2 linked regions of the Caenorhabditis elegans genome follow. The protein of the gene in region 1 interacts with the protein of each later gene in a biochemical or structural test. Each region holds a gene or a part of one and is shown on either strand. Other genes may lie near its edges.

Region 1 (14,721 bases):
TGCTCCAACTCAAATTCAAGTGCTCAGTGTCAATGCACTAGACGCTCTCGTAGTGTGGCACTCACCACAATTTCCAAATTCTCCGATAACAGTAAGTATTTATTTTTGTCAAGAGTTGAAAATAACTAAAAAATGAGATTTTATTAAAGTACAAAAATAGTGAAAATTTTGATGCTTTCATTTGATTTTTCCATATTAATACTCAAAACTACTTCAGAGTTACATAGTTCTTGTGAGCAATGATGATAAAGAAGACAAAAGTACATGGCTTCAATATGAATCGAACGCTAAGGAAACACAAATCAATAGGTAATTTGAAATAGTCACATTTATAACTTTGGAAACATTTTCAGAATGCTTCTTCCAACTGGAAATCTGGAAAAATCAACAGAATATTTTGTATGTGTTCGTGCAAAAAATGCAGCAGGAATTGGTCCAACAAGCAGTTTGATATCATTTATAACGTTGAATGGAGGACCTGATAGTCCTCCGGATAACTTAAAAGTATTGATAAATGAGGCAAATCAAGTGATTGTTTATTGGAATACACCTAATTCTACGACTGAAGTTACTGTTAGTTTTTTAGGCTCAACATCAAATAAACAATAATTATTCAGGGATATCTGATCTACTACACCCGAGATCTGAGTCTTTCAAATGATGATTACAAAAATTGGCAATTTGTTGAAATGAACAACAACTCAACTCGGTAACTTCACTGAAAATCGTTTTTTTTACTCAAAAAAAAATTACAGATACAAATTCGACTTATCTGTCGGATTGAAACCAAAAACGTTCTATCGAGTTCGAATATCTGGAAAGAATTCTCACGCCGATGGACCAGCTAGTGAAGTTGTAGAGTTTGAGACTGCGTATTCGGGTAAGTTTTGTAGAATATTAATCCAATCAGAGCTAACATTTGACATTCTAGAAGTTCCGATTCCAACCGATTTAAAGACCGAAGTACTTGATGATAACACGATTCATATAAAATTCAATGCAGTCAGAGATCCTGATGATCATTCTAAAGCTCTTGGTGTAAGTTCAACTCACAGGCGATCAACTAGGCGTATGTCGCATTTGAGACAAGTGGCTCCTGACTTTCGTTCCTCTGTGTAGAAGCATTTGTACAGACAAGTCTTATTTTCAGGAATACCGGATAGACTTGGCAGCAACTGATGATGTTCTTCACGCACTATGGAAACAAATTGAACCGAAGTCTATTAAAATTGATGAGATCAGTTCGATGGTAACTGAGATTAATTAAAATATTGATAAGAAATACATTTAACCAGGTAGATGTGGAAATTGATGGTGATTCAGTTGAAAAAAATCAAATGTATTGGGTTAAAGTGACTGCAAGATTGGACAATCCATCATGGGGAATGCATTCTTCGAAACCTAGATGGTTTAGAACTGGTCATGGAAGTTTGTTGTTTTTTTTTGTCTTTTAAAAATATTTAAAAATATTAAATTTTGTTTTCCTCTAAAACCAGAATATTCTCAATCTGTTCGCTTTTGATTTTTGAATCGTGTGAAACCCAGTTTTTTGAGGTCTTATTCTACAGCCTGTATACAGGAAGGCAGGCATGCTAGGTAGGCACGTAAGAAAGCATGGGCAGGCATGTATGCCTAATGACGAGTCCATGCTCGGATGCCTACTTACATGCCTTTATTATGCCTTCAAGCCTTCGTACCTGCCTGCCAAACAAACAACTAAAAAGTTCAAATGTTTTTTTTTGATACTCCAAAAACCGGACGCCTTATTCCAGTATCCAAAAATACCAGACATCCGGGTCCGGTTCACTACTCTTTGAACCGTAAATAAATTATTTAAAAACAAACATAGATGTGTCTTGTAAAATGCATATTTTATCACAGTAAGGGGAAAGCGAAGGGCGTGAAAAACGCCCCAGGTGACTGTGGAATGTATAGAAAACATAAGTTTTTTTAATTGAAAACAATTTTGCAGAACTCATGACGTCGGTTACACTGGAAGGTGCACCATTAATTGAAAAAGAGCCAAATCTGTTTGAAGAACTGTCAGTAACATGTACAGGAATGGGAAGTCCAGCACCAATTATAACATGGGAATGGATGAATAAATCAATTGAAAATGGAACTGAAGGATGGAATATTTTAAATATTCAAATTGATGATACAACTGTTGTGTTAGTTTTGAATAGTCGATTCATGTTTTAAAAATATTGTTCCAGCTCAAAAATTACCAGAAACAATATTCGCGAGTCGGGAGATTTAACCTGTTTGGCAAATAATAACGAAGGAAGTTCTTCTGCGGTAAGAGCCTTTTCTCTTTTCTAAAATAAAATATTGGTGTTCAGTCTGTCGAAATTCGAGTTTTGGGACCCGGAAATCCACCAGAAAATATAATTTTGACGGCATACCGTAACCAAATAAATGTGACGTGGCAAGAGTCGACACTTCCGAATGGAGATATAATGGTAACCTCTTTGTCATTCTTTTGCATTATCTTTTAAATTCAATTTACAGAAGTATATTGTATATTACTCTGAAAATGAAAATGATGATTTATCCGATTGGAATAAATTTGAAACAGCAGAATTGGAAACTTATGTGGAAACATTTGGACCACATACTAAGCATTTTATTCGTGTTCAAGCTGTGTCTGATCGAGGGCCCGGAATCATTTCAAATGTACTTTCATGCATTTCTGATGTGCTTTGTGAGTTTTTGTGAGCAAATTGAAATATTAAAGATTTCGTCAAACATGGAATATTTTGAAGTTCTCTCTTATAAAAATCTACCTGAAACAAAACAAAGAAGATTTTCAGATGAGACAATACACTTGGAAATAGTTGCATCGAATATTCTTGATTTCGAGGCAGAACCAAATCAAAATGTTGAGATTCGATGCAAAGGAACAGGAAAACCACAACCTGAATTATTCTATCAGTTTGCGAATGAAACAGAACAAAACTTTGTTGAAGTTGAAACAAATGACATGGATTTGTTCGAAGCAAAAGCTCCAGAGATTAATTCAAGAAGGAATGTTACAGTGACATGCAGGGCAAGCAATAAGTATGAAAATGTCACGATAAGCAAAGTTATTATAATCAAAAGTAAGTAATATGTGTAAGAAATTCCCTGATGAGCTTTTCACAGTAGGAAGACACGAATCCATGCGTGCCTGCCTTATGCCTGCCTGCCTAAGTCTAGGGACTACTTTCTTCATTTTACATTAGTTTTTCATCCATAGATTTTCTATGCGAGTTCATTTCAGTTGAAGGACGCAGGCGTAGATCACCGCGAAAGTAAATTATTTTTCAAAGCCTGTTCCAGTTCTAAATTTAGTGGCAATTAATGGGAGACTAGTAATGTTTCAGGACCCGGAGAAGCTCCAACAAATATCAGTTGGAGTTTTGAAGAAGAATATGACTCAACTTTATATATAAATTGGAATCCAATCGAGAATGCAAATGGAGAAAAACTAGAATACAATTTATACCTGTCGAATTACAAAACAAAAGTTTCAGGACCGCCTGTTAAAATTCCTGATGTAAGATTTTATTTTGGGTTGCATTTTATTTTTTGGTTTCATATTTCTTTTCCTAGTTGACAGTTGCTTAGTTTCAAATGTTCATCTTTTAATTTTTATAAAACGAAATTTCAGATTCCTCTCGATGTCAACATTTCACTTCGAGTATCGGCAGAAAATGAATATGGAGAAGGAGAAAAGACATTTCCAATATGGATTCCAACTCCAAATGGAGGCCCAAAAACTGCTCCAATTCTTTCTTCACTTCATGCACAAGATTCAAAAGTTTATATTTTCTGGGTAGAACCAAGACTTCCAAACGGAGAGATTCAAAATTATACAATTTATATCCAAAAAGAAAATGAATCAGAAAATGAAGAACATAGTATTGATAAGGAATGGAAGGTAGGTATTCAAAAAGTTTCTGTTTTGGAGAAATTCCCATTTGCCAGATCTTGAAGTGGTATATTGATTCTAAAATAATTTTTCAAATCATGATTATTTTGAGAATCAAAATGTTTCAAATGCTTTATTTATTCTAACTGTTAGTTTTTCAGAAATTCATTTATGGCTCGAATATAACTCATGTCATAATTGGTGTTGATGATGGTTTAGAAGAAAATGAAAGATATCAAATGAAAATGACAGCAACAAATCAAAGACATGAAGGTCCTGAGACGAAGGTATGAGATTTGAAAAATAAATTCTAAATTCCAATTTAAGTTTGTCCTAATATGAATGTGTTTTATCAAGCAATAACCAAACTTTCACTTGAATTACCTGCCCCAAGAACGCAACAAAATATCTAGAAGTTAGCATTTTTGGGTAGGTTTTGATTTTGAAAATATCCGTAATTTATCAAAAAAAGAATAGTATATCTGGAATTTAATGAAATACGTTTCAAGATAAACGACCACTCGGTCACTTTTCCGTTATTTATCCAGACAATTTCTTTTGAATGTGTTTTATATTTTCCAATAAATTTTCAGTAGACATCGATATTTTGAAAATAAAATAAATATTCGTCATTGTTAATCTTTGAAATGATGTTTCTTTGATGAAAACTCTCTGATCACATTTTTCATCAAATTTGATGTTTCACATTACTGTGTCAGTTGATACTTGTACCTATAGGTAGCCAATCGTCATTTTTTCATTTCACATGTTTCAGGTATACACTTTCGATTTGATATCCTTTGACGAGAATGACGTCATCGATAATTTCACAGCAATTGTTATCAATTCAACGGTGTTCGTCGAAGTGGGAAATCCCATTTATACAGTAAGTCGAATTGACTTCATATTTTGAAAATGATTTTTGTACTGTTTCAGAAGTACAATATTTATATTCGAGAAGATGGAAATAATCAGACTGTCAAACATGAAATTGATGTGGAAAGTGGAAAGACAACATTTGAATTTCCATTTCAGTTAGATCATACGTTGAGGTAGATTCTAAGATTTGTTTTAAATATATCACTCGGCAGTTTCAAAAAAAATCAACTCAAAGATGCTCTCAATCCAAAGTAGAACAAGGCATAATTCCAGTTTCGCGATTTTTAAAATCATTCCTTAGAACTTTTAACCAATGATCATGGTTTATTTTATTGAAAACATTGTCTCGTTTAAAAAATTACACTCCAAAAAAGATCTTTAAAACTGATCTTGCCACAAAATCATTAATCAGCAAAGTGACTTTTGTACAAATGTTAATCAGTTGATCACATTTCATGTCCTTTAGAAATACGCTCTTGTAAGAATGAAGAGAAGAAAGATTACAGAACTATGATCAAAGCTACGAACTTATTCTGAATTTATCTAAATATCATTTTTCGAGTTCCCTGCCAAGAAAGACTACGTCTTAAAATTACTGTGTTTCACAATTCAACTTCCTTTTGTCAAATTTCAGTTATACAATCAAAATGTCTGGAATGAAGCTTGGACGTGAAAGTCCTCCATCCGAAGAGATTGATCTTGAATTTATAAGTTCACCGTCTCCAACTCCAATAATTTCCGGTTCCCGTCGAAAAGTGATCAAGGAGCCGCCACTATAACCAATTATTTTGAAAAACAATTAATTTTCGGGTAGACTCTACGAAATATTTTTTTTTTCATTTTAACTTTTCAATGCCCATTACGTTCTTTCATTAAAACAAAACAAATATTTTGTATGTTCATCAATTTGTGTTATAAATATTTCATATTATTTATCACTGTAAAGTTGTTTTTTCCAATACTTTCTCCACAGGAAAAACAAAAATAAAAGTGATCGATCAGTGAAAAGAATTTCAAAAAAGAACCAGTTTATCAGAATTTTTGTGCGTCAGACTATAAAAATGGGGAGAAAATGTAGGAAGTTGATAAAAAAAACTGAATCAATTTGAACAATTAATATCCCATACATCCTTTCAAAATTGGGAATTCTCGAGGAAATTGGCGTTCTACTTTGGGAATTATTCCCATTGCACAGTCAACTTTGAAGCAAACCTGTAAAATTATTAATTGACTAAGAAAACTAGTTGTTAGAGGTTAGAGCTCTCTGTGAGCTCTTGAAAGTTTGTAATCATATAGCAAGACTATTCTTAAATTTAATGTTTAATTATGAATTTACAAAGTTATTTTCCTTTTTTTGTTTAATATTTAATTAATTCAAACACTGAATAAACATACTGCAAGTTCTCGTTGAAGTGCCTTAGATGGTCCATTCTTTGGAAGAATTCGTTTCATACATGCTTGACCTCTCTTTTTCAATTTTAATTGTGTGGCAGTATCTGTTGGGACTTTCTGAAAATATTTCCCATTCGAAATACTTCAAGTAGAATTCAAAGAAACTTACATAAGCTTCGAGTACCAAAATTGTGGCAAGAAGGGCGAAAATTAGGAAAGTTCTAGACATTTTGGAGAGAAAATAAAATATTTTTTCTATATAAAATCAGTGAAAGTCGGAGAACCTTTAAAGGGTAATTTCAGGGCTATCGTACCGCCCATAACAAGTTCTTTACTTGTTTTCGAGGGGCGTTCCTTGTGATTTCATTTTGATGCGATTCGCCCAAAGCATGGCCATGAGTTTCATTGATCAAATTTATTAATTCAAAGCAAGAATGATGAAGGTTGGGGAGATGGATGGGGGGAGAGGGAAGATTGGAATAGAATAGAATAAGTTAATGTTGGGTCGAGTGGAACATTTTTAGTGTAAAAATTTGTAAAATTGAACAAAAATAAATATAAATTAATTAAAATAAAACGAGAAATGATGTTGGAGGATCAAAGATATGCCTCATTTGGGGGACAAAATGTTTCAAAAAATTGGAATTTTCGACGGCGTTTTCGTGGGATATTATGTTTTTTGAATGTAAATAACTGGAAACTTCAATTGAGAAGGCACACTGGTTAAACGGGGTTTTCATGCAAAATTAGGAAGAATGATGATGTTGATGATGTCATTAGAAGCTAAGAGTTTTGTGTGTGGGTTATAAAACAGGTAATACTTTCGAGTGGAAATGGAAATGAATGAAACAAAAGAAACTACTAGTAATTAAATGGAAATGTCCAGATGAACCAGAAGCGAATGGTTATTATGATTTTGATGATTGATTCAACGGAGAAAAAGAACGGCGAGTACCTTGTAAAAGGAAGTTATGGGGAAAAATTGATGATGAGAAGATGAATAAATATATTTTCAAATTTTGTAGATAAAGATAATCACATGATGACACACGAGCAGCACTGCTTATTTGATTGTCCCTGGCGTCGACCAGATTCGGGATAACGTCGGTTTATTTGACGAACGAGGTCGTAGAACACCTGAAATATAAATTATTTTGCTATTTTTACTTGAAATTCCATTAACTACACATTTAAAAAATTTTTGCATTAAATTTTCAGTATCGCTGGGGATTATTGTTTTAAAATAAATGCTATTGTGCTAAAATAGCCAAATGTTATGGGGTTATCCAGAGCATAAACAATTAATTTTTCACCCAGTTGGATAACCCATTATAATTATTTTTTCAACCGAAAAGTGTTAATTGCTCATTTCCACCTTATTCGTCGTTATATCGTTATATTATAGTCGGCTAAAAAAATATTCCCTTTTTTTATATTTGAATTAATTGTTTTTGAATATTGCACGGGTTCGAGCATGACAAAATTGTTTCAAGGCTCTCTTTTTGCAAAATTGTGTATTTTGGTTTTCTTTTACTTTTATTTTTTTTACGTACCAGAAAACAAAAAAAACAGTCTTTCAAAAACTATAATTTTTAGTCGCCAGAAAGAAAAAGGTGGAATTTTTGTACTTTCGGAGAAATTCAATGTTTTTTGTACAAAATTCAAACAACATTTTTTGTCGATTTTGAGTTTCGGGGTTAAAAAATTTGTGGCAGCATTACAATCCATTTTACTAAAAAAAATTAATTTTGCCAATTTTTAAATTGTTATCAAAAATTTCACTGTGAGTTTCAAAAAACTGTGTGAAAATATTTTTTTAAGTGTTTAACTGTGATATTCGGATTTTTTTTAAATTGTTAGCCTCCTTTTCATTGAGAAAAATATAGAAATTTCAAAAGGTTTTGATACTCACCTCGCTGACGTTAATCTTTGCTTTTGCAGAGGTTTCAAGGAATGCTGATCCAAACTGCCTGGCGAGATTCTGTCCCTGATCTTTTCCAACAACTCGTTCGTCTTCCAAATCACACTTATTTCCTACCAAAATCATTGGAACCTTAAAATAAATAATTTGATTATTTCCTTTTTTTAAATCAAGACCAACCTCGTCCGTATCTTTGACACGAAGAATCTGATCACGAAGATCCATAAGATCATTGAATGTCGATTGAGCAGTAATTGAATAAACGAGAACAAATCCTTGTCCATTCTTCATGTACAAATCACGCATCGCTGTGAATTGCTCCTGAATTTTTAAATTTTAAACTAAAAAAGTGAAAGTGAAATTAACTTACCGTTCCTGCTGTATCCAGTATCTCAAGCATACATTGCTGGCCGTCGACTTCCACTTGCTGAAAACACGAAATTGATATAAAAATTCAAATTTGTTGGTATTATATTGCCCACTTTGCGCCAAAAATACGGAATCCGGTCTCGATATGATACATTTTCGTGGAAAGCAAAAGGGTGTGCGCCTTTAAGGAGTACTGTAACTAAAAACTCTCGTCAGGAAAAATTGACAACATTTAAGTGGTTTATTGTAATATTTGAGTTTTGCCCACTAAGTGTTTCATCGATAAACAATGGAAAATCGATATAAACCCTTCCAAAAACGAGTTTTAAACTACAGTACTTTAAAGACGCGCACCTTTTCGAATTTAACAAAAATTGTCGTGTCGAGACTAGGTGCCGTATTTTTTGCCGTAAAATTTCGTATTTGCGTAATATCAGAAGCTTTAAAAATCAATTCTTACCTTTCTGTAACTATCCTCAATTGTTGGGTCATACTTCTCTACGAAAATTCCCTGCACGAATTGTACCGTCTGAAAATATATACAAAAACTATAGATTTCCGGTCACTCTCATCTATACCAGTGCGGATTTTCCTACTCCTCCAGATCCGAGCACAACAATCTTATACTCCCGCATTCTTTTTTTGAAGATCTGTTATGGTGTTGTTGATGCTTGGAGTATTCCCTGCAATCGACGACCCGTGATGGTGTCTTCGAAATGCTTGGATGAGTGAACGTGGAGAGAGGGATGTACTGAAAATAAAAAATTTTAAAATAGAACTATTGAAATAACAAGTTTCAAAGAATTTTTAAAAGACGAAAAAGATGAACGACACAGTCTTTCTTTCTGAGTTCACTTCACAGAACACCTGTTATCCGAGGTTGGCACCAAGTACAGACCAGATGACACATTTTACATTAAAAAATTGTACAGCTGGTGTAATTTTGGAATTACGAAATTAGTTGAAAATGGAGATTCAGAAAATAGCTTCGAATTTTACAGTGAGGGAAAACAAATTGAATAAGTTTGATAAAAATTCCACCTAAATCTTTCGAAACGTCAGAAAAACGTAATTTTAAAATCGAAAACAGCAGACAACAAAACTGAAAACAAAACAAAAGCGGGTGTCGTCGTCGCCGTTAATATTTTTCGACTATGACTCATTTTTCAGTGTTTGCAGAACGAAGAAGGCTCTCAACCACAAATGGGTTTCGAACGGAGAATATTTATGTGCTGGATCGTAAAAACTAAAAAAAAATGGAAAGGAATGGAAGGTTTAAGAAACGGAAATAAAGAAATACAATGATATGTTCCCCGAAGAATGTACAAATGATAACAGAAAATAATAAATTATTTTTTTCGATAAAAATTGGATTTTATTTTATTTTCAATCTCTATTTTTCCTCCCACTCAAATCGATTGGATTAAACTTTCACATGACCTATATATATTTATGAGGATTTCGATACAGACGGGCGGTTTAAAAAATGACAGAAAAAGAGAATTCTTATATATATATATTTATAATTATTCAATTGCAAAAATTAATTCAATTCTACTAGAAAACAAAGAAAAAAGAGAGAATATTTAGTTTTTGACTTTAAATGCAGATCACACAAGAAAAGTATAACAACCTTTCGATAAGCGTAGATAAAATAGGTGATATTTGGGATTTTAAATTTTTTATTCAATTTTAAAAATTTGGTTATCGGTGTTGATCTGATTGCAAAATGCCTAGAAAATTTCTAGACAACATTACATATTTCTATTAGAAAAATGTATTTTCGTGAAACATAGAGACTGGGAAAACTACAGTACCCTATTCAAAATTTAAATTTATTCGAAATTTGCAAAGTCATAAAAATTAATATAAATATAGGTTTTCAGATCAATCGAAGTGAAAAATATGCTCTAAGCATCACTATCAGACAAATGTGCTCATTATTTCTTGTTGTCGAGCTTGTCACGCTATTTTTAGACGGATGTCTAGTCCAACGAGTACGTTGAAAAAAAAATTGATGATGGATTATTTAGAAAAATGATGACAACATGAATTTATGTATGTATCGAGTGCAATAAAGTTTTAAAAAAAAACCTTATCAATATAATTATAAATCTAGAGAACTTGTATGACACTAGCGGCCTTCTAATGGGAATACGCTGGCTCTCAATAAAAAATATTGTTAATACAAATTTGATATTTGTGCATCCAAGATTAAAAAAAAACAAAAGCTTCAAGGTGGCAACAATAACCTCATGAGCGGCCGTTAGCCGGCGAGGCGACGAAAAGAAGAAAGAAAGAGAAGAGTGATTAGTATAATCATATCATCCACACTTTCTTTTTCTTTTTCTTCAGCACATATAGATGATAATATGTGTATGTGTGAGTGTGAAGAGATGGAACAAAACGAGAAAGAAGCGTTGGAACGAATAGAGAGACATAGAGATAGAGAGAAAAAGCCAGGAAAACGGGATGCAGTGGGCCCCCAAGTGCGGGTCATCAGAAGCTACGAGATATTATATGAAACAGTGAAGGTAGAGAAAGAGAGTGATACTTTTGGATTATCACTTTGAAACTGTTCAACATGATGCCCAATCATTGTCACTCGGAAACCACCAAGTAGAATTTTCGGTCCGTATTTTTTTCAATTTTTCGGAGCAAATTTATTCAAAGTGGTTCGAGAAAGTGATAGAAATATTGAAAATTGTGGAGTTAAAAACCCGAAAACTAATGATTGAGAATTGAAATCCCAGAGTTCAAAATTTTTGAATCAGAATAAGAAGAAAAAAGACTTGTAAAGCTATGAAAGAAAATATAAATGGTCAAAAGACAACTCGTTTCGAAACTACATCTATTAGTGCGTGTGTGCATATTTAAATTATAGGAATAGAATCCAAACAAAACTTTGAACATAGCATAGCGTTCAATATTTTGAATGGAACCACTCATTCAAATGTGAAGCTTTAGCTTTAATTCATATTTGATAAAAGTGCAACTAGGCAGCATAATGCGGAAATCAACGTTTGGCAGATAAATTCTAAAAAATCTGAAAATCTCTTCAACTAATCTTTTCGGGCATTTCCTTTTATTCTCTTCACTCAGCGAGCCCACCGTTTTCGTAAACATTCTCGTTGTCACTGATAATCCCATAATTTGGTTGCTTCGAACAACAACTTTTCATCCAATTAGTTCTCTCATTAAAGGATCATGGGCGGATGATGATGATGAAATGAGAAAGATGAAAGAAAAAAAAGAGGGTGGTGGAGGAGGAAATGAGGTGGATTGACTCATTCTTTTCTTATAGGGGGAGATTTAGAGGTTTTTGGCTTATTCTTCTTGGCACGAGAAATCTGAAAAGAACAAAAACCAATCTCACAGTGATTTCAATAGGAATCTATGACTTATAATGCCTAATATCCAATTTAAATGCTGCGAAGTTTTAAATGTGTTTACACAGTGATTAATTGTGTTGGAAAAATTTACTAATTTCAGTAAAATAAGGAAGTGTTGATAAACGATCACTTATAATTGGGATTTTTAAGGAAATTTTTTTGATAATATTAACTATTAACACTGAAACAGTGAGTCAGCAATTAAATTTTAACATCACTCGTACGAAAGTTAATATTCACTTTCAGAAAAAATAAAATGAGAGTGAAATAAAAAGGGTACATGTAAAAAGAGGAAGATATTTAACATCCATACTATTAAATGAGATCTTTAAAGCAACTTACAAAATGTTGAGTTTAAAAAATTAAACGATTCAAATTTCAAAACCGATTTTTCTTGGAAAACAAAGCGAGGTGAGAAAGAATTAAAATCGAAATCGAAAAGGTGGGAGACTAGTCGCCTCCGATGCGTGGTAATGTTGGTTTTCGAGACCAGTATCAAATACGATTCGACGCGGACGGGAGACCCCTACTGACTAATGAGAGACAGTGTCCAAACAGAGAGGGTGTGAGAGATGTGAGAGGTAACGACAGTTCAGTAGCGAGATAGTGCAAAAGAATATGAGAATCAGGCGTCGTGCAGAACGACACGCACGTTCGGTTCGAATTCGGACGATAATCGATCGATTTTTGGAAAATGAACAAAGTGGGGGAAGACGGACGGTACGAAGAAGGACGTCTTCGGATAGTCTGCGTCTGGCTAAAAATGAACGAAAACGGGTTAATTTACTCCGATTCAAAGTGCATTTTATGAGTGGAACGGGCAGGAGAAGTAGAGGGAAAATAATTATTTTGCGACGGAGAGATGAACGATGTCAAAGAATGGGAGGCGAAATTGTAATTGTTCATCTCTGCTGTTCACTTATTCTTCCTTTTCCGGTCGTCAATGTTTTGAAGGTTTTAGTTTCGATTTTCTTTTCTTTCTTATGCCGACATTCTTTTATAGAAGAAAATATTAGAAATATCACAGAAAAGGGCAACAATGTGTTCACATAGTTCACATAAATTTATTATGTATTAAGAAAACATCCATTTGCATAATTATTTTCTGCCAACAAAGAAAATGGGGAATTAAGTTCAGGAAAATTCTTGACACGGTCATAAGTTATCCCATGCTCAAAGCTTTCTAAATTTTCATTATCATGGAGAAAAAAGTGAAGATTTTGAACCGGTGTCTTCACATAATTTTAACTTTGCCAAAATTGGAAAACGTTTCTTATTCTAACTTCTAATGAAAACTGAGAAATGAGAAGTACAAAAAAGATTGCTGATTTTTTTCAAAACATTTCAGACACAAGAACAGGAGAAATAGAAACAGCCAATTACTTTTCAAAATGACCGATGAAAGTGACAGGTCCGACGGGCTACTACTGGATGCAAACATTTCGCGCACACAAGCATCTACTTTGTCATATTTCTCATCTACTTCGTAACAAATCCTAAACGTTTTCTTCTGGCTTTGAAAAAGAATAACTGGCAAATAGGCTCAGCATTTACAACAAAGATAAAGAAATTTGCACCAGAGATTAAGAACTCAATTTTGACATTCTAGTCTACAGAAAACGCACGTGTCAATCTGACATTTTTGGCTAAATCCTCGATGCTATTTATGGAGACCGGGGATGCGTGTTGGAGTTTCCTTTTGGGATTAATCCTCAAAACGTGAAAAGTGCCAAAAATAAATAGAAAAAGTTAATATTATCAAGTTCAGACTAACAAAAATAGAAAATATCGGAAAAAGGGAAAAGCCGAGGGCTAACACATAAAAATAAGAGCGCACGATGGTAATTCCGGCGAAATTTCGTGCCATTCCGTGAGAAATGCCTATCAAATGCGAACAGAATTTGTGAGAAGGGAAAATGAGCAATTCTTTTTAGAAATAATCATGGGAAAACTGCATTTTTTAAAGAGAAAAAAATATTTCGAGGAAAAAACTAATTTCAAAATGAAAACAATCGGCAAACGCGCCAACTCACGCCGAATGCGCCAGCAGTAGTACTTTTCGATGCAGCAGTTACTGTAGTTGAAAATTTTTTTTAAATCAGAAATTAAAATAATTTTTATATCTGAATTCCCAATTAAATGAAAAATTAGAACCAGTAAAAATTATTTTAATGAATTTTCTAAACCGGCTGCCCCCGCATCCAATTTCCACGTTGGTTTCAAAAAATGAAAATGTCTCATGAATCTCTGCCAACAAGGTGACACTGAAAAAATGACGGAAAAGCGGAGAGAGCCGTTTTGCATGAGCATGCTCACTCGAACACACGCATTATTGCTCGGTGGCGGTTGGGCTGGCTCGACAAACAAAGGAGCGGCGACGACATTTTTGAAGATTAGAACACAGAACAGCCGACGATTTGAACATGGAGAACACATGCACACAATAACTACTGTCCGAAAAAGAAAGATGGGTTGTGGAAATGAGATAACAAGAAAATATGATGAGAGAGAGAACCGCGTCATTGAGTAGAAAAAAATTGCACTGTTTCTCAAAAGGCTTTTGCTCGAGTATTTTTAAAATCAATAATATGTGGATGAACTCCTAAATATCGGTATTAAAAAATTTGGTCAAATATAAAAAATTTCATTCGAGTTAATATTTTTGTTGTAACTCTTAGATAAAAATTAAATCAACATTTAAAAATTAAAACCTGTAGATTTCAAAAAAAAAAATATTTGAAACAGAACAATTACAACAGAATAAATGTGAAGAATCTCAGGAAGCAGAAACACATTTTGAACATCTGGTGGGCAGACGGAGATTGAAAACCTACATTGGACCCGATGAATAGAAA
Region 2 (17,933 bases), on another chromosome or scaffold:
TGGTGGAAAATCAAAAGAAGAACTGCAATTGCTAGTTTTAGAAAATTTCAATGACGCTGTAAAAAAGAGCGAGAAGAACGGTGAAGATTTCGAGAATCCAAACGGATTCTATGAGGAATTCTTTATGCCAATTCTGGATGAACTATTCAATGACTAATCTACATTTTTTGAAATCCGACTCTAGGGGTTTAATTGATTAGTTGAATAGCACCAGTTCAAACGTTAATTCATTTGTTTTTCTACACCTGTATCCTTTTTCTATTTAAAAAAAATCTCTATTCCAATAATTTACATAATTGAATTCACAATCCACGGTCCCATTTTGCAATATTTCACGTGTCACCTTTAATAATTTTCTCAGCCCGAGATCTTATCTTTTGCATCGTGTATTTTTGTTTCCACGTTTCAATGCCCATTTTGTCCCGATTTCCCAAAATAATTCATTCCCAGTTTGCCGAAAAGAAATTCATAAAGAAATTCAATCAACTGTAACAACAAGAGAATCTGACAATGCTTCAAGGAAGTGAGTTTATATGATTATTAAAATCAGAGAAGAAAACGAGTGTATTTAGAAAATAAACAGAAAACTAATAACGTTGATAAAACGGAAAGAACGGAGTTGGAGACCAAACCGGAAATTGCAAATGAAACTGAGAAGACGCGTCGTGTGCCACAGAGCAACAGCAAGACCGCAATCACTCCGGAGAATAAGAGCATGGTTTGTAACAGTTTTACAAAGCGTGAATGGGAATATCGCTTCAAAAAAACTAAATTCAGAGATTTAGAGACGAAATGTTTTTTTTAAACAAGATGTTTCAATTTTGGCTCAATTCCCTGTTTGATTTTCCTTCAAAAGGATAACTGTGACCAATCAGCGATTCGCTCCATTCATTTTCGAGACAATCAGATGGAGTGTATAGAGCTGATTGGTTCGAAGTCGACATGGCTTTTCATTTTGGAGAAATTTCACACAGGGAATAACAAAAATAGGAACATCACGTTTTTGAAATTTTGATTTTTCATTCTTTCCCGTTTTTTAGTGGTTTTTGTGAATTGGAGATTTTCTGGATTTTTTTGAAGGGATATCCCTACTAATGAAACTTCACATTTAATGTCAAATAATAATCTATAAAAAGAAATGTTTCAAGTCAAATGGTAATTATAAATTAGTTATATTAAGAAGAGTGATCAGATGATTTATAAAACTATCCTCAATTTTTATATTCCTTTGAGAGCATTATTTCAGATTCAATTTGCCTACAGTATCCTGATGCGAGTTCTTGAAAGCGGAAAGAGCACAGATATGGAGCTGACACGTCTTATTCCACCTGAGGATGTAGAAACTTTGCTGTTTCATGCATTGTAGGTTATTATATTCAAACTAGAGAACACTTCTGAAAATGTTGTATTAGGTGAAGAGTGTCATGTAACCGGATTCAAGATATCTCCCCGAAATATTCTCTTGATACAATACAGGGTGGGCCAAAAGTAACACATGAAGCGCTCTTTTACATGAGCTTTTCGCGCGACTGCCACGTCATACGTACATTCTTCTATCGAATACTGATAGCTGAATAAATTTCCTTCAATTTGACTCAAAATTTGTAATGTTTCTCAATAAGGTGCGATCTTTATCACCTCGACAATTTGGCGAACCCTTCCGAAAAAACGGTAATTTGGCACGCGGCACTTCCCACACAAACACACCTCCCACGCACGCCAATAATTTTCAGATGTATGATTTTTATGTTAAATTTAAAGTTAAAGAAGTGAAAAAGCGTTTTTAATTGTTTTTATAGCATATAAAAATTTTCTGTGTCGACACTGGCGCCTAGCAAGAACCTTTGAATATTTCATGAATTCAACTTTGCGAAATTTACTCAGTTTTTTTGGTTTCGCAAGGCGTAATGACCCACAAAATCATCCGAGCTCAATTTTCTAAAAAAATTCTGGAAAGTCAGGTCAAAACGTCTCGAAAAATACTAAAATGAATTTTTCTGCATACTGCTGCCGCCGCTCACATCCATCTTTCTGGCGACTATGCCATTCAAGACTTAACCTACTGCCGCAGTGCATGACAGAAATACCGTGATAGAAATTATTTGGATTTTTGTTTTTAAAGAATCTCTAGACCAAGAGCATTCTTTGAACTATAAAAACTTGTAAGACACTTGATGGATTCCTCGAGAAAAATGTAGAAATCCCGCAGAATGCCGACTTGCGTGCCATAAAGGTCGTGATCTCAAAAGTTCTGAAGGCCTGCAGCGATGCGGATGGGAATATTTTGAAAATTCAAAACGTTCATCTGGTCAGTATTTTATGGAGAACAAAACTTGTACAAATTGATGTAATAACTCTCTCCACTAGTAAAGTTATAGAGCTGCAAACGTGTTACCATACTTTTGGCCCACCCTGTATTTTTCAAATGCTGCAAAGCCACATTTTCTGATGATTTTAAAGCTCTGAAAAATTTGTTTAATTTTCAGCAGCATATTCAATAAGCAACCAATGCTCATTGAGGTCAACTCACCAATTAACATTTGTGGTGACATTCATGGACAATTCAGTGATCTTCTTCGCCTCTTTGACAAAAACGGCTTCCCACATCGTGCGAATTATCTGTTTCTTGGTGATTATGTGGATCGTGGAAAGCATTGCCTTGAAACAATCTTGCTTCTATTCGCCTACAAAGTCATCTTTCCAAACCATTTCTTCATGTTGCGAGGCAATCACGAATGTTCACTTATCAACAGGCAATATGGATTCTACGAAGAGTGTCAGCGCCGTTACAACAAACCATCCGTATGGCATTCGTTTCAAGGTGTCTTTTCGGTTATGCCATTGACAGCTCTTGTTGGTCAGAGAATTTTGTGTATGCATGGCGGTGTTTCCAAAATGGTATCAAATTTTTACGGTTCGGTACAAATAAACTTGAACTTTTTACAGCTTCAAAACGTCAGTCAACTTCGTGCTATCAAACGTCCATTTGACAATCCTGAGCCAAATACGCTTGCAATTGACATTCTTTGGAGCGATCCAACAAACTTCCAAAAAGGATGGAACCCGAACTCTCGTGGTGTTTCGTACGTTTTTGGATCAGATGCCCTTCGCAAACTTCTCGATCGTCTTCAAATTGATCTCGTGGTTCGTGCTCATCAAGTTGTGCAAGACGGCTACGAATTCTTTGCTAATCGTCGTCTGGTTACAATCTTTTCGGCACCGTTCTACTGTGGACAGTTTGATAATGCAGCTGCAGTGATGTATGTCAATAAGAATCTTGTTTGTTCGTTTGTGGTGAGTTTTTGGGGAAATTTCAGAAGTGGTAGTTGAGACTGTTTGATCAAGTATAATTAACTCTAGATGTAAGTGCAAAAACGCAACATTGAATTCCGACCAAGAGCTAGATTCAAGATTATTCTTGTTGCATTATCTTGGTTCTTATTAACTACGATGTAGTCTTCATATACCTATTTTTGACTCTATTATCTATTCCACTCTTCTCCCAATTCAAAATTCATCTAATCTATTTTCAGGTTCTCCGTCCTAGAAAGAAAATTGCGAGACGTCGTATGATGCCAGCGGTCAACTAGTGTATGATTCCTCGAATGTATTGAACTTTTCTTCTGTCTCGAATTTCCAGTGATATAAACACATTCTCGTGATTGTTCCTTTCTCCGGTAGTAGTGCATAGATATTATTGTTTATTCAGTTCCATCCACTCACTTTTCTCTCTCTTTCATTTCATGAACTTGTTGTATGTTCTTCCCTTTCATGGATTTTGTGTGTGTGTTCTTCTTTTTGATGGTATGTTAGCTCACATACACTACTATTTTATTTTTATTCGTGATCTCTTCTCGTTTTTTCGAATAAATGTTTATGTTCTTTTCTATTCGGATTTATTAAATTAATTTGATTCGGTTATTCAAAAGTACGCTTAATTTCAAAGTGTGGCAACCAAGAAAGTCTTGTTTTTTGCTTAAACTTTTAAAGGAATTCCATTTTCAAATTGGCATCGAATGCAAAAGTCGCAACCTCCAACGTTCGATGAGAAAACTTTGTCTCATTTCGAATGAGCTCTCATCATTCAAATATTGTGCATTAAGCCCCCACACACATCGCTGCCGGAATAGATGATCCCATCGTAGTTCGATAATCTCGTGACACTCGTTTCCGATACCCCCTTATATCAGCACACATTCAGTCATCATACCACAAAATGTTGTGATAGTGATAGGCAAAACTACCGTATTTCCTCTATTAATCTTGCATGCAAGACTAATTTTCGATTAACCCGTAGGGGTGCAAGACTAATAGAGACTGCAAGACTATTAGAGGCTGAAATACTAATTTTCGTATGCTCAATAATTTTGGAAATTGGCCTATTTTTTGTAGAAACTTGATACCGTTTAAACAAGGAAAAATACACACTTTTTAATATTTCATCAATAATTTGAACGATTTTGTGATTTTAAGTTCAATTTGCCCAAAAAAAGACAATTTTTCTGACGTTACCGCAAAGTAATGCTGGTCAGGCAAAAAGAGCGGTGCAAAAATATAAGAGACTGCAATACTAATAGAGGAAATACGGTAATTGAATTTTAGTGAAACTTGCGACAGTTTTCCTCATTTTTTTGTTATTCCGGCATACGAGTGTGGCATACGAGTGAGGTCATCTTTTGTTTCTTCCGTTTCTTCATCGCTTTTGAAAAAAAATGTTGAAGAAAACTTCGTAGCCGATAGCCGGATAATGTTTGGCACGGCGTTCCAACATATATCATTGGAAATTTTTTAAGATTTTTGCGAAAAATCACATTCTTCACGATGAGAACACGTTATTGAAGGAATATAAATCAAGAATAACATATAGTTATATTTCTCTATTACTTTAACGTTAAATATGAGCAAATTTGAGCATTTTGATTGCGATGAAAAGCAGAATCGAGTCAACTGAAATCCGTTCAAAAACCTAAGCTCGGTTCGCCCGAAAGTCGATTTTTCCAATAGCCGAACAGCACTGCTTCTTTATTTTCCAGGTATTTTTGGGGTGTAAGAATTATATCTTCTTTGTTTGGGTATTTACGTTTCCGAATTCCCTTTCTTGATCTGTCGCTATTTTTCAGAAACCAGAACAGTTTATCCTTTTTCATGAGAACCTGAATAGCTCAAAAACCCGTTTAATTTCTTTTCATCATCTCATTTGAAACTTTCCTAGTCTTCTTAATGATTTCCAGGCTCCTCCTACATTTGTATCTCAAGATGCATACACTTTATTTCCGCTCCAATTCGAATCATCTACTTCTCTTTTTTCTTCAACTTTCTACTTTTTTCCATTCTTTTCTTTCAAATGTTCGACGTCTTCAAGTGACTGCTCTTCATTCTCCTCATTTTTCTCGAATTTCATTCTTGTCTCTTTTTTGCTCAAAAATGGAAAATGAAAGTGACGTGAGATTTGGACGGCGGGACACGGGGGCAGTAGAAGCAGCAAAAAGGAGAGAAAGAGGACACAAATAAGAAGAACGAATTCAAAAATAAGCGGAGAGGAGCTATTTCCGTCAATTCTACCTCCCCAATCTTCATCAATTCGGCTCAATTGAATGACGTCACAGGGAGATAAACCGTTTGGATGAGCGCCGTCCATCACTGACGCCATCCCGTTTGGGACAAGAAAAGAGAAAAAAGAGCACAAAGTTTTTGGTGACGGATCTTGTCAATCATATGAAAGTTGTTCTGATTGATTGTCAGTTTTTTTCCTACTTTTTTGGATTCTATCCACTTCTGAACTTTTGACAAGTTTCAAACTTTCTGAATCATTTTCTATGCATTTTCCTGGAATTCTTTTTATGTAAAATATGAAATAGAATGTTTTTGAATTCAAGTTCTGCTTTTTTCTTCTTTTTTGTTCTGTTCGGGCTTGGGTATGCTTTTTTTAAAAATTATTTTGCACATCGACCAATAAGTGCGCAACTTATAAAATTAATTTATTTTTGTTAATTTTTGAAATACTTGTATTGCTTTAAGTGATCTGACCTCGCCCTGAGCTTTCCACGTAGTTATCAAATACAAATCCTCCAAGGGTAACGTACCTATATTACTGATCTTTATAATAACTTTATCACCTGTCCAGTTCCAGAGGAATTCTGTTAAGCTTATAGGCACAGAAGGAGTCATTTCTGCTGGTTTTTAATGATCCAAATCTTTATTTCAAGTAAAAAACTGAACACTTGCGAATAAAACTATCAGATTAACCATTCACCAAAAATGTGTTTGAATCTAAAACTTTCTCAGTATTCCAAATATAGAAATAAATAACCACGACATTGCTAAAATCTGTCTGAATTGTGTACTCCTTACCGTGAAGTAATAATGGATATAATGAATCGTTTGAAATGAATGATCAGCACATTTTTGGTGAAAGATCACAAATAAGGAATAAGCGACGGAAAATAAAACGATTATTTCGGATCAAAAATTTGTTGAAGATCATATACACTCGAGACCAAGATTATTCTAGACAATTTTCAAATTGGCTTCTTTGTTTGCAAATCTTCATAATAATCTGTGAAGTTTGGAAATTTGAATTTTTAATCTTTTTTCATAGATTATAGTTTTTATTTCTTTGCAAAACTATATTAAAAACCGATGCATTGTTTTAGGGAAATTAATGAGCCTTTTGTTCAACACTAAAAACAATAAAATTAAAATTTTGGCTTCATCATTTGACCTTTTTTAAGTTCGAAAACTTTTCTCGTATTTCTGAACCGCCAATTTTTTCACACATCTCTAGACTTTTGGTGCCCGTTCCAGAAAGTTAAGTAATTGCTATTCTAAGAAAGTTCTCAACATTGTTTTTTAGTTCTGATTGAATTCTGATGTTCCAGGAATATATTTTAAATTTAATATTCTTTGCACTATTTCTATACTAACTAAATAATAAATAGTCTAAGTATGTTCAATGAGAACAAAAAAGCTCTATCTATATTTTTCTATCCTATTTCATTTATATCCTTTTCATTTTGAACTCACCAGCTTCTCTTCTTCTTCTTGTCCATATACTTCTTAAAAGTCTCGAACTTCTCTCTCTCACTCTCCATCAATTTCTTTATGGCTACCGCTTGCGCTCTGCCGCTTCCGAAGAAAGAAGGCGTTGGCAGAGCTCTCAATTCTATTTTTTCTCGCCGTAGGCTATCGATTTCTCAGCTTCTCTTCTCTCTTCCTCACTCCACCACCACCACTTCGGGCTTCTTCTTTTCTTCATTTTCGTCTTCTTCTTCATCCTCTTCTTTTTTTTTCAGTTCCCCCTCACTCCTCCCCTTATATGCGCGTGCGAGAGGGGTGCAAAAGCAGCGCGCATCCGAGAATTGAAACGAGAAAACGGAGACGCAGCAGCAGTTCGTCCTCAGAAAAATAGCCAGTAAAAAGAGAAAAAGATAGAGAGAGACCTATCGCATTTTATTTTCAAATTGCAATTCCTGCAATTCATGTGTGCGTGTGCCCATTTTCAATTCTTCCCGTTATTTTTCAGACCATTACCAACGTTCTTTCTAGATCTTGAGACAATCTTCCTTCTGCTCAATCGTTCGTCGTGAAGACGGCATCGACGACGACGACGATGAGCAGTAAAGTTGAAGAAGATCAACATCAAGAACTTCTCACAGAAGATCAACTTGTGGCAAGATGTGTTGAATGCTTTGGTAGGAATAAAAAGTGAAACCCTATTAACACCACAGGTGGTAATTTTATAGATGTCGACGAGGAGGATGAGGTTGAAGATATTGAATTTGTTGACGCCTTGTTTTTAAGTCATCAATGGTTGAGTGATAGTTTATCACTTATTACACATTTCGTGAACTTCTATCAGGTAATTTAAAAGTTGTGATCTGTAGTATTAATTGAATTATTGCTCTTGAGTTTTATATTTCCGGCTTCACGCGCCCAGTTCAGATGTTCCTAAAACACCTGGCTGAGTGAAGCTTGCAAATTTATTTACATTTTTATTTTGAATTAAAGACTGTCACAGAAAACAAATAGTAATAATATCAAATTTTAAGGAAACTCGAAACGTCGAACAAAGAGAAGCAGTATGTCGAGCGGTATCATTTTGGATCGAAAAGTTTCCAATGCATTTCGATGCGCAACCTCAAGTCTGTGCACAAGTTGTTCGATTGAAAACGATAGCAGAAGATATAAATGAAAATATTCGAAATGGTCTAGATGTCAGTGCATTGTAAGTACTTTCAATTTACAAAAAAATAAATAAGTTGAAACAAACTCAGACCGTCATTTGCGTGGCTTCGAGCAGTTTCAGTTAGAAATCCATTGGCTAAACAGGTAAGTTTTTTTGTTGTAGAGTGAAGGCTTCGAGGAATTGCGAGCTATGGTGTTGATGTGTGGAGAGAAATTTCAATTTGGTTTCAATTAGTTTGCATTATATTTTTAAGTTCATATTGCTGTTTTGTCTGAATCAGATCATGTGAACTTTTTGAACTATTTCATACTATTGCGGATTAGCAAAGTAATCTTTTTGATTAACGGATAAAAAGATTAGATAAATGAATCATACAAAACCCTGAAATAAAAAGTACGCACCCAACTTGCTCCTCGATTCAATGAGTAAGCAAGCATTTAAGAATTCCTCAGGAAGTGGTATACTGGGAAAGTTTCTCAAAAAGTTTTCATTGAAAAGAGATGAACTCGCCATTAGAAGAAAAATTAGTTTGAGAGATTTTTGATAAGTTTCCAATGTTGTCAAGATGCACAATTTTATTGAGTTTAAATTTCTCTTTTTTAGTCGACCTATATTTATAATGTGCATAGCCTGCATAAAAAGAGTCAACTTAAAAAAAACACATAAATCCAGCAGAGTTTATACACTGTGTGAATTTCCACGACATGATTACATATAATTGCAGAATTGTCGATAATTTCGAAGATGGTCATTCTGTCGTTTACAACATTTGATAACATTAAATTTTGAACAAAAAAAAGTTGTATCAAATATCACTCGCTGAATACCTCGTTTTGCTTTTTGTCTGTATCTGATTTGAGAAAAATAGCCTTGAGTTTCAGACAATAGTTCGAGTTGATTTCGAGACTTTGCCCACTCCGGGAACCCCTCCACCATTTCCCATTGCCTCGAAAAAATTCTCACTAGTACATTTATCAACTTCTTTGAATATTCATGAATTTTTTCTAACATCAATTAATTTTCAGACTGCCTTCTCTCTTTCATTTGTCCAAGCATCCCCTAGCGATATTTCGACGTCACTTTCTCATATCGACTATCGCGTTTTGTCCAGAATTTCGGTGAGAATAATATAAATTAGAACAACAAAATGATGAATTGTGGTTACCTTTATTTCAGATAACTGAGCTCAAGCAATATGTGAAAGATGGACATCTAAGATCATGTCCAATGTTGGAAAGAAGTATTTCAGTATTTAATGTGAGTAAATATTATTGAAGAAAATTGAGCATTTTTTAATTAGAAGCTTTAATGGATTGGTTGCTTCGTTTATGATCAAATAGCGGCCAGGACCAAATATAGACAGATCTTTGAGCCTTCTAAGAAACTAGTAATTTTCACTTTTTTGTATTCTAACAGTGGCTTAACAAGCACTTAAATAACACGTTTTGGGTGTAGGTTCTTGGTTCTTGATTTTTTTCTCGAAATCACACAAAAAACAATAATTAATTCAGAATCTTTCCAATTGGGTACAGTGCATGATCCTTAACAAGACAACACCAAAAGAACGAGCAGAGATCCTTGTGAAGTTTGTTCATGTAGCAAAGCATCTACGAAAGATCAATAATTTTAACACTTTGATGTCCGTTGTTGGTGGAATAACTCATTCATCAGTGGCTCGACTTGCCAAAACATATGCAGTTCTGTCAAACGATATCAAAAAAGAACTGACTCAGTTGACAAATCTTTTATCTGCTCAACACAATTTCTGCGAGTATCGAAAAGCATTAGGAGCGTGTAACAAAAAGTTCCGGATACCTATAATGTGAGTTTGAAGTGTTTAATTTTCTAAAAGTTCAATAATTCAATATTTATATGTTTCAACTTTTCAGCGGTGTACATCTCAAAGACCTAGTCGCAATCAATTGTTCGGGTGCAAATTTTGAGAAAACAAAATGCATCAGTAGTGATAAATTGGTGAAACTTTCCAAACTGCTTTCAAATTTTCTGGTTTTCAATCAAAAAGGACATAATCTTCCCGAAATGAATATGGATTTGATAAACACATTGAAAGTGTCTTTGGACATTCGGTACAACGATGATGATATTTACGAGCTGTCGTTGAGACGGGAACCAAAAACTTTTATGAATGTAAGTATATTTTAAAGTACCATGGTATCTGATGGCAACTTTCTTGGAAACTTTTCAAAAACTCTATAATTTAATTTGCAAAATTTCCTGTATAGAGGCGTTCGATAAATGTGAACTTTTTCCAGAAAATTTTTGACAAAATCAAAGATTCCTGTTTGCAGGAAAAGTAACGGTTTTCGGTTTTGCTTTATTAGACCCCTGAAAACCGGATTTCGAAATGATACTCAAAATTATAAAATACAGTCTTATGTGGCTAGCCTGAAATGTATTTGGTCAAATAATTGCGACTACCCCTTTAAAGAATACTTGTCAACGAACTAACTTTTTTTAATTGTTCTTTTTTTTAGTTCGAACCATCTCGTGGACTCGTATTCGCTGAGTGGGCCTCTGGAGTTACAGTTGCACCTGATAATGCAACAGTTTCAAAACATATCAGTGCAATGGTGGACGCAGTATTCAAACACTATGATCATGATAGAGATGGATTCATTTCTCAAGAAGAATTTCAGTTGATTGCTGGAAATTTCCCTTTTATTGACGCATTTGTGAACATAGATGTTGATATGGATGGACAGATATCAAAAGATGAATTGAAGACCTATTTTATGGCTGCAAACAAGAATACAAAAGATTTACGAAGAGGATTCAAGCACAATTTCCATGAAACTACATTCTTAACTCCAACGACTTGCAATCATTGCAACAAATTGTTGTGGGGGATTTTGAGACAAGGCTTCAAGTGCAAAGATTGTGGATTAGCAGTTCATAGTTGCTGTAAATCAAATGCTGTAGCCGAATGCAGAAGAAAAAGTAGCAGCAATTTAACAAGGGCTGCCGAGTGGTTCGCTTCACCACGTGGCAGTATGAGAAGTAGGATAATAAATACATGCAAGTGAGTTGGTCTCAAATTGTGAAGAATCTTCAGAAACCGGTTTTCACTGAAATACATAGATCTAGATTAGTTTTGATATGATTGATCTCGCACGTTTTTTGAACTCTTCAGAAGCATGTAGCACGTTTGAACGGGAAGAAATATTTGAGAATTATATGTTTCTAAAAGTCTAAAGTTTCATTTTTTCTACTCTTGGTAATTTCCGTAGACTATATAATTCCTAGTTATAAATAATCGGTCGTAGTATGTAACCTCTAATCAGATTCATTAGAAGATCGTCTCGGCCTCGTACTGTATCTGCAGTTGTCACATCTCCAACAACAGAGAAGCCGACATGTTCTACGAAACTCAGTCCTCCAAAACTGAAAGATATTCGACCACAATCGGAAAGTACTGAATATTAGTAAGTTATTATAGTGGCTAATTAGTTTTTAAGTATCTTCCTAAATTTATCAAAAGTTAAATGCTTTTCCAACCAAAAACTTAATCTTTTCAAAACTAAAAAAAACCTAGTCAACAGTGTATCACAATAATGCGATAATTCATATGTAACAAACACTTTAATTGTGACATGCTTTAATATTTATTTTGAACAGAGCTCTATATTCACGGTTTCCTGAATGTATTTCTTGCAGTAATTATATTGTAGTCTACCGTAATTCTCACGTGGACTACGGTAGGATCACATACCGTATGTCCCCTAATAAACTTGCATCATCACTCTACTTTGACAGCTTATATCTCTTATGTCTCAATTTTAATCAAATATCTATGTTTAGAACTATAGAAAAATGTTTTGGGCGTATTTTGTCAGTTGACAATTTTTTAAAACCAAAGTCAGCTGGCTGTCAAAGTAGAACAAGCGGATACTAGTCTGATAAGGAAAATACGACATGTGATTAGAAGTTTTGTGGAGCACAGGATTCACTTTTACGATACAATACTGATCCCATCAATTGGTGTCAGGCTGTCGCATTAGGAGTTGATCTACAGAAAATGCGGGAATTGTCTACCCAGAAAGATGTAACGTCAGCACGTTCTTAACCATACGAATTTAGTAATTCTCATAGATCTACGTAAATCAAGCCGAAATGGGACACTCTGACACCATGTGCCCCATCAATATTTTCAGTTGTTCATTAAACATCAATAAGAATTTCAGTAATTCCGGAAGTACACCAGATGAAGAAATTGGTCTTGTAAGCCTTGCTTGTGAAGAAGTCTTCGAAGATGATGATCTAGCAGATATTTCATCTGCGTCATACCGTACCGCCTGATTTGTCTCCATCTATCTCTTTCTCTGCACTCTCTTTATTTTTAGCAAGAATATATTACACAAACACTGAATTCTGGGAATGCGTGTTGCGCAACATATTTGACGCGCAAAATATCCCGTAGCGAAAACTACAGTAACACTTTAAATGAATACCGTAGCGCTAGTGTCGATTTACGGAAACATTTTATTAATCGATTAAATATTAAAAGAAACACAAAAATGACAAAACAATACGAAAAACTGAATATCACTGTCGCAATTCGAACATAAGTGAAAATCGATCCCGTAAATCGACACCAGCACTACAGTAGTCATTTAAAAAGTTACTGTAGTTTTCGGTCAGATATTTTGCGCGTCAAATATGTTGCGCAATACGCCTTCTCAGGATTTAGTGTTCTCGTAATATGAGAGTACAATATTAAGTTTATTCTTCTCATCTATTTTTCTTCAAATTAATGCATACGAGTATTTTTTCCTGCAAAATGCGATTCATTTTTTAACCATATCACTCAATTTCTCAAATTTATTTGTTTTTTCTTTCAGTACATTCCCTCACAATTCGAGCTTGCTTTTTCCTATCCCACTTGTTTGATCTCTACGCTAAATATTTCCACGTGTAAAGTATTTTTCACCAGTCTTCCACACACTTTCCTCTTTTTTCGAATGAATTTTTGCTGAACATCATTTAAAACTCTGAATTGATTTATTGAAAGCTGAAAGCATTTGGATTTGTGTGCACCGAGAGAAAAGAAAACTGAATACAAAAATATACACATAGAGATGAAAAGATAGAGAAAAATTTGATGTTTTGATTAACTCCTAAAAATTTGCCAAAAAAACGGGAAAGAGTGAATTATGGAAAGGAGAAAAAATGATAGAAGATAACAAAGGGACACTGGGAGAAACTTTGTTTTCAGAAAGAGAAGAAGACCCGTAGTTTTAAATTGAGTAATAAATAACGTTGAAGCGTATTAACGGCGCCACCATTGAATAAGTCGCTTCGATGCTGAAACAGGCTGATCTATTCCACGAACAAAGCGAGTAGCCCTATCCAAAGTAAGGTTCTTCAAACGATCCGAATCTTCTTCGCTGAAAATTTCGAATGTTGTTTCATTAGTTTCACTGAAAGTAGTTTATTACGTGGTGTCAGAATGTCCCATTCGGTTTGATCTACGTAGATCTACAAAAAATTCGGAAGTTGAGACGAAGAGTTCTCAACTGATTTCGCATGGTTAAGAACGTGCTGACGGCACTTTCTTAGGCGAAAAATTCCAGCATTTTTTGTAGATCAAACCGTGATGGGACAGCCTGACACCACGTGGTTCAACAAAGCAATAAACACTTACATTTCGTCCTCAGTTGCAAATAACTTTTGAACCAAGTTACTTTTTGTTTTCATAGCATCACTATATTGTTCAATCAGTTTATCCGTTGCCGTCTTATTCTCATCAGAACGAGGGAAATCATCAGGAACTTCATTGATTTGTTTTCCCAATTGGTCAATTTCCGAAGTAACCTGACGAATTGTCTCAATGATATTATAGTATTCCTGTCGATGTACAAGAGTGTTCCGTTCATTTGTCAACTCAAGATATGATGCAGTCAACATTTCTTCTTCTGAACTTCCAACTTCTGTTTCACGGATCTTGTCTTGAATAACCTGAAAACAAAACAAACTGAATTAATCCTTTAATTCTCAGAATCTTACATCGGCTTGTGCTGTAATATCCGATATACGTTCGTCAATACGAACAAGCTCATTGGCGGTTCCTTCAACGTCATCGACGTCTTTTTCCCATTGGGAAGAGAACTTTTTGGTTGGTGTCGCCAGAGCGTCTTGCGAAGATGATTCGAAATCGTTTCCCTAAAAATAATAACATTTAGACGGTAACTTTCAATTTGCACCCATGATTAAATTTTATGTTGATTAAAATAGAAGCAAAAATCATTACATTACACTTTTTACAACATCACAAACCATGTATCCGTATTGTTTCGCCATCAACTGCAACGATTCTTTCAATTCTGCACTACGCATACTCCCATATCTCTTGACACGATCAAATGTAGAAGCTGATGAAGGAGTTGATGAATCGTTCTGAAATGTGAGCAAAACACTTGTTAGGCATACTGTACAATGCGGTGTATGATAAAAAAGAAAATATAGAACAGAGAAGAACTAAAGATAATATCGACGAAAGAAAAATTATGGTTAGATAGAAATGAGGATTGCTAGTGGTATTGACAGCTAATTGACAACATTCATATTTAAAGCTTAAAATAATACTCAAATGTTTAAAATTGAAAATCAGACAACTTATTACACTGACAAAATAGTTTGCGACAAAATATACGGTAGCTGGTCTTGACGCAAGGTTTCAAGCTCTCGTATTTGTCGATATTTCATCGATTCTTCATAGTTTTTTTTTAAATTTATGTGTGTTTTATTGTTTTATTTTAGTTTTTTATAAAAAAAAAAGTTTTATCGAAAAACTATGAAAAATCTATGAAAATACCTCACCAACGAGGATTTGAAGTAACTGTATCTTTAAAGGTACACATATTTTTCCTGAATCGGTGTTGCCAATAATGCTCTATTCGGGATTAAACTGTTAACTCGGCATTTCGCGTCTTCTTTCTCCCACCTTTTTGCCGGAAGGCGAAAAGGTGGGAGAAAGTAGGCACGAAATGCCGAGAATTTAAATATATTAATGACTGACCCGATTTCCATTTGTTCTGCCACGACCAATTGCTGGCACATGAGGAGTATCATTGGGATCGTCTGTAATTAAAACAAAATTAAGATGAAATTGTTCCTAATAATGCAATTGACATGTTAAAAATCACTGCACTATGAGGAAATAATAAAATGTACATTGTTTGCGGACGAGCGTCGGAGATGGATCACGTTTCTTGAACTTGTGTACATCGAGTTCTGAAAATAAATTCACTACATGCTTTGTCACAACACTAAAACAATTAAATCGGAGCATGATCTGAAAATGTTACAAACCAATACGACGAAGATCGGTATTTGATCCATCGATACGACGGAAAGTGGGATATGGTGATGATGAAGTAGAGGGGATTGCTGAAATGGGAACACACGGTAGAAATAATTAAAACAATCACAACAAAGGAGATTACTATAGAGAATCACGACAACTTTTGTGTTTTTAAAAACTTCTCACCCGTTGGATGCTGCTTTTCGTTCAGCATCCGTCTGACCTCTTCGCGTCTTCTCTCTTCATCACTCGCTTTCCGTGAATTTGGTGTTGCTGCAGGAGTTGTTGATTTTTCAATTAAATCACGTGCTCTTTGGCGTAGTTCATCTCGCTTTGAAGGTGATGCACGATTCTGAAAGTTGTAAAGATTTTCAAAAATAAGAATCTCGTAAAATTGGATATCTATTAGGAAAAAGAATTGATTAGACTATTTCGCTGGGAACAAATGTAATTGAGTTTTATAAGGGCGAGTATTTAATAAGTTTTTTAAGTTGTGTCGCAATTTTTATCAAGCTGTTATATGGTAGTAGGAAATGTTCAGTTATGTATAACCTTATAAATTGCATTAAAAAAATAAAATAAGAAAATATACCAAGAAATCTGACGATTGAAAGAACCTGTTTTTTTCCTATAATTTCAGTTATATTATACACACAAAGTATCTTAAAAATGGTAGAATTGAAGTGAAAAAAGATTTCAATAACTATTTTAAATAATTAGCATTATTCAATTCGAAATTCAACAAAAAAACAAAAACTAAATATTTAAAATTTTAAAATTTTTTTTTTCAATAAAAACTCACCGATGCACGAATTGCTCCAACTCCTGGAGTCACCATGGTTATGCTTACATTACTTCTCTCAAAGCGCATATTTGAAGTTTCAGCATCATCGTCATCAGCGTCAGTTGGTTGATTGAGAGCCGGATTGCGACTAGCCAACTGTGGTGTAACAGGAACTTCATCAGGAATGTGTCTATAATCCACAGCTTCTTCGAGATCTTTTTGATTTCGAATTTCTGTAATCATGGCAACAACTTTTTCTTCGGATTCATTAATTCCAAATGTTCTGGATATTCTGTGATCAGAAGCACTGGCTGGTGTAGATCCCTCGTCAAATCCTTCAAAGATTCGGCGAAGATGTTGAAGAAGAAATTCTATTTGTTTCCGATCAGGAGTCAGAAACATATCAACTGTTGGTACTTCTGTTATTCCTATCAAAGTAAGTGAATCGAGGGCTCTTTGAATATTCGAAATGCGTCCAGACATATTATTAGAGATATCCAGTGTTTCGTAATCTCCAATGAGATCCGGGCGATAAGAATGAAGAACTGCACACAAGGCCAATCCGTTGTTCCAAGATTTCATAAAATCATTAACTTTTACATGCGAATATCCGTTAGTAACTCTCTGACACCATGAAAGTAAAGTCTCTCCATCGATCGGTTGAGGGACAGCATCTCTAGATGGAGCTCTCGGAGAATTTGATCTTCTGAAATTGAAAAAAAATTATGATTGTGAGAAAAGTAACCAAACAATACCCTCTACTCATTGTTCCACTTTGAAGATAATATGGTGTAGCGATTGCTGTAACTGGAACATGCCGAGAATTGGAATCCACACGGAATTCTATTGTTGTAGACGCTTTTTCTTCTGTCGAAGCACGGCTTGACCGACTATGTCTGTTGGTTGCAATTGGCGCTGGAGCTGCTGGTTGTGACGTTTTTTCTTCTTCAGCTGATACTCTCCATTGGGGACGAACTGAAATACATTCTATAAGAGCCACGGGTGTCGGTTTTTCGATTTTTCGTTTTCCGAAAAATTGAAAAAAAAAATTTCGAGTATTTATTTTGGTTTTTTTAATCCTTTTTCTTCATCAACATAAACAAATTTTGATATATCATTTTCTGGATAATTTTCGAATTTTTTTTTCGATTTTCGATGTTCCTTGAAAAAAAAATGAAAAAAATCTACAAATTTTTTGATGACCACACACGAATTTAGGCTATATGACTTTTTTCCATGAAAATATTCTAGCCAAAAATTCTAACGATTAGGTTTAAAAAACGATTTCTAATTACCTTTTGCAGGGTTTTCATTCTCTCCGGAAGGTTTTCGGTGTGCTGGAACAATAGGCGGAGCGATTTCCTTTTCCTCTTTGATCCATTCCATCATTTTTGTAGCTGTCGTGTCGATTTGTTGTCTTGCAGCTTAAAAAAACAAATTATGTGAAATAAACTGTATTTTTTCAATCAAAATACCTGCTGCTCTGGAATCATTTGCACTCGCATCAACTTCATCTGTTACTGGAACTTTTTCAACAAAAGAGGCTGCAGCTGACGAAGTAATACTAACATCATCTGCATTTACTTCCGAAATAAGAGAACTTCCAAGAAGAATAATCAGGGAACACAATTTCAAATGAGGCG

The links.
Region 2: of the proteins of rap-1 (region 1) and rgef-1, one has a biochemical effect on the other in vitro, tested with the Caenorhabditis elegans proteins (one study listed by BioGRID).

What each region holds. Positions count from the first base shown.
Region 1 is NC_003282.8:8,909,666-8,924,386, forward strand, and holds rap-1 (Ras-related protein Rap-1), read right to left. Parts: upstream 9,226-14,721; 5' UTR 9,110-9,225; coding exon 9,053-9,109; intron 9,004-9,052; coding exon 8,935-9,003; intron 8,533-8,934; coding exon 8,476-8,532; intron 8,427-8,475; coding exon 8,286-8,426; intron 8,238-8,285; coding exon 8,097-8,237; intron 7,322-8,096; coding exon 7,220-7,321; 3' UTR 6,585-7,219; downstream 1-6,584. Other genes in the region: Ig-like and fibronectin type-III domain-containing protein C27B7.7, read left to right, coding at 1-91, 218-309, 354-573, 618-709, 756-880, 932-1,038, 1,151-1,249, 1,296-1,428 and 11 more; C27B7.9 (INSulin related), read right to left, coding at 5,906-6,004, 6,188-6,301, 6,354-6,413; D1046.16 (uncharacterized protein), read left to right, coding at 12,485-12,820, 13,215-13,235. UniProt on the Caenorhabditis elegans protein: Required in the hypodermis for proper formation of the cuticle.
Region 2 is NC_003283.11:9,551,285-9,569,217, reverse strand, and holds rgef-1 (Ras guanyl-releasing protein 3), read left to right. Parts: upstream 1-7,546; 5' UTR 7,547-7,609; coding exon 7,610-7,691; intron 7,692-7,742; coding exon 7,743-7,858; intron 7,859-8,048; coding exon 8,049-8,224; intron 8,225-8,273; coding exon 8,274-8,328; intron 8,329-9,210; coding exon 9,211-9,303; intron 9,304-9,361; coding exon 9,362-9,442; intron 9,443-9,696; coding exon 9,697-10,007; intron 10,008-10,074; coding exon 10,075-10,333; intron 10,334-10,680; coding exon 10,681-11,225; intron 11,226-11,496; coding exon 11,497-11,628; intron 11,629-12,387; coding exon 12,388-12,502; 3' UTR 12,503-13,191; downstream 13,192-17,933. Other genes in the region: F25B3.5 (uncharacterized protein), read left to right, coding at 1-157; F25B3.4 (Serine/threonine-protein phosphatase), read left to right, coding at 511-523, 573-718, 1,247-1,362, 2,487-2,898, 2,947-3,294, 3,534-3,590; ehbp-1 (EH domain-binding protein 1), read right to left, coding at 13,473-13,590, 13,848-14,161, 14,210-14,365, 14,480-14,599, 15,222-15,283, 15,377-15,436, 15,515-15,592, 15,693-15,858 and 4 more.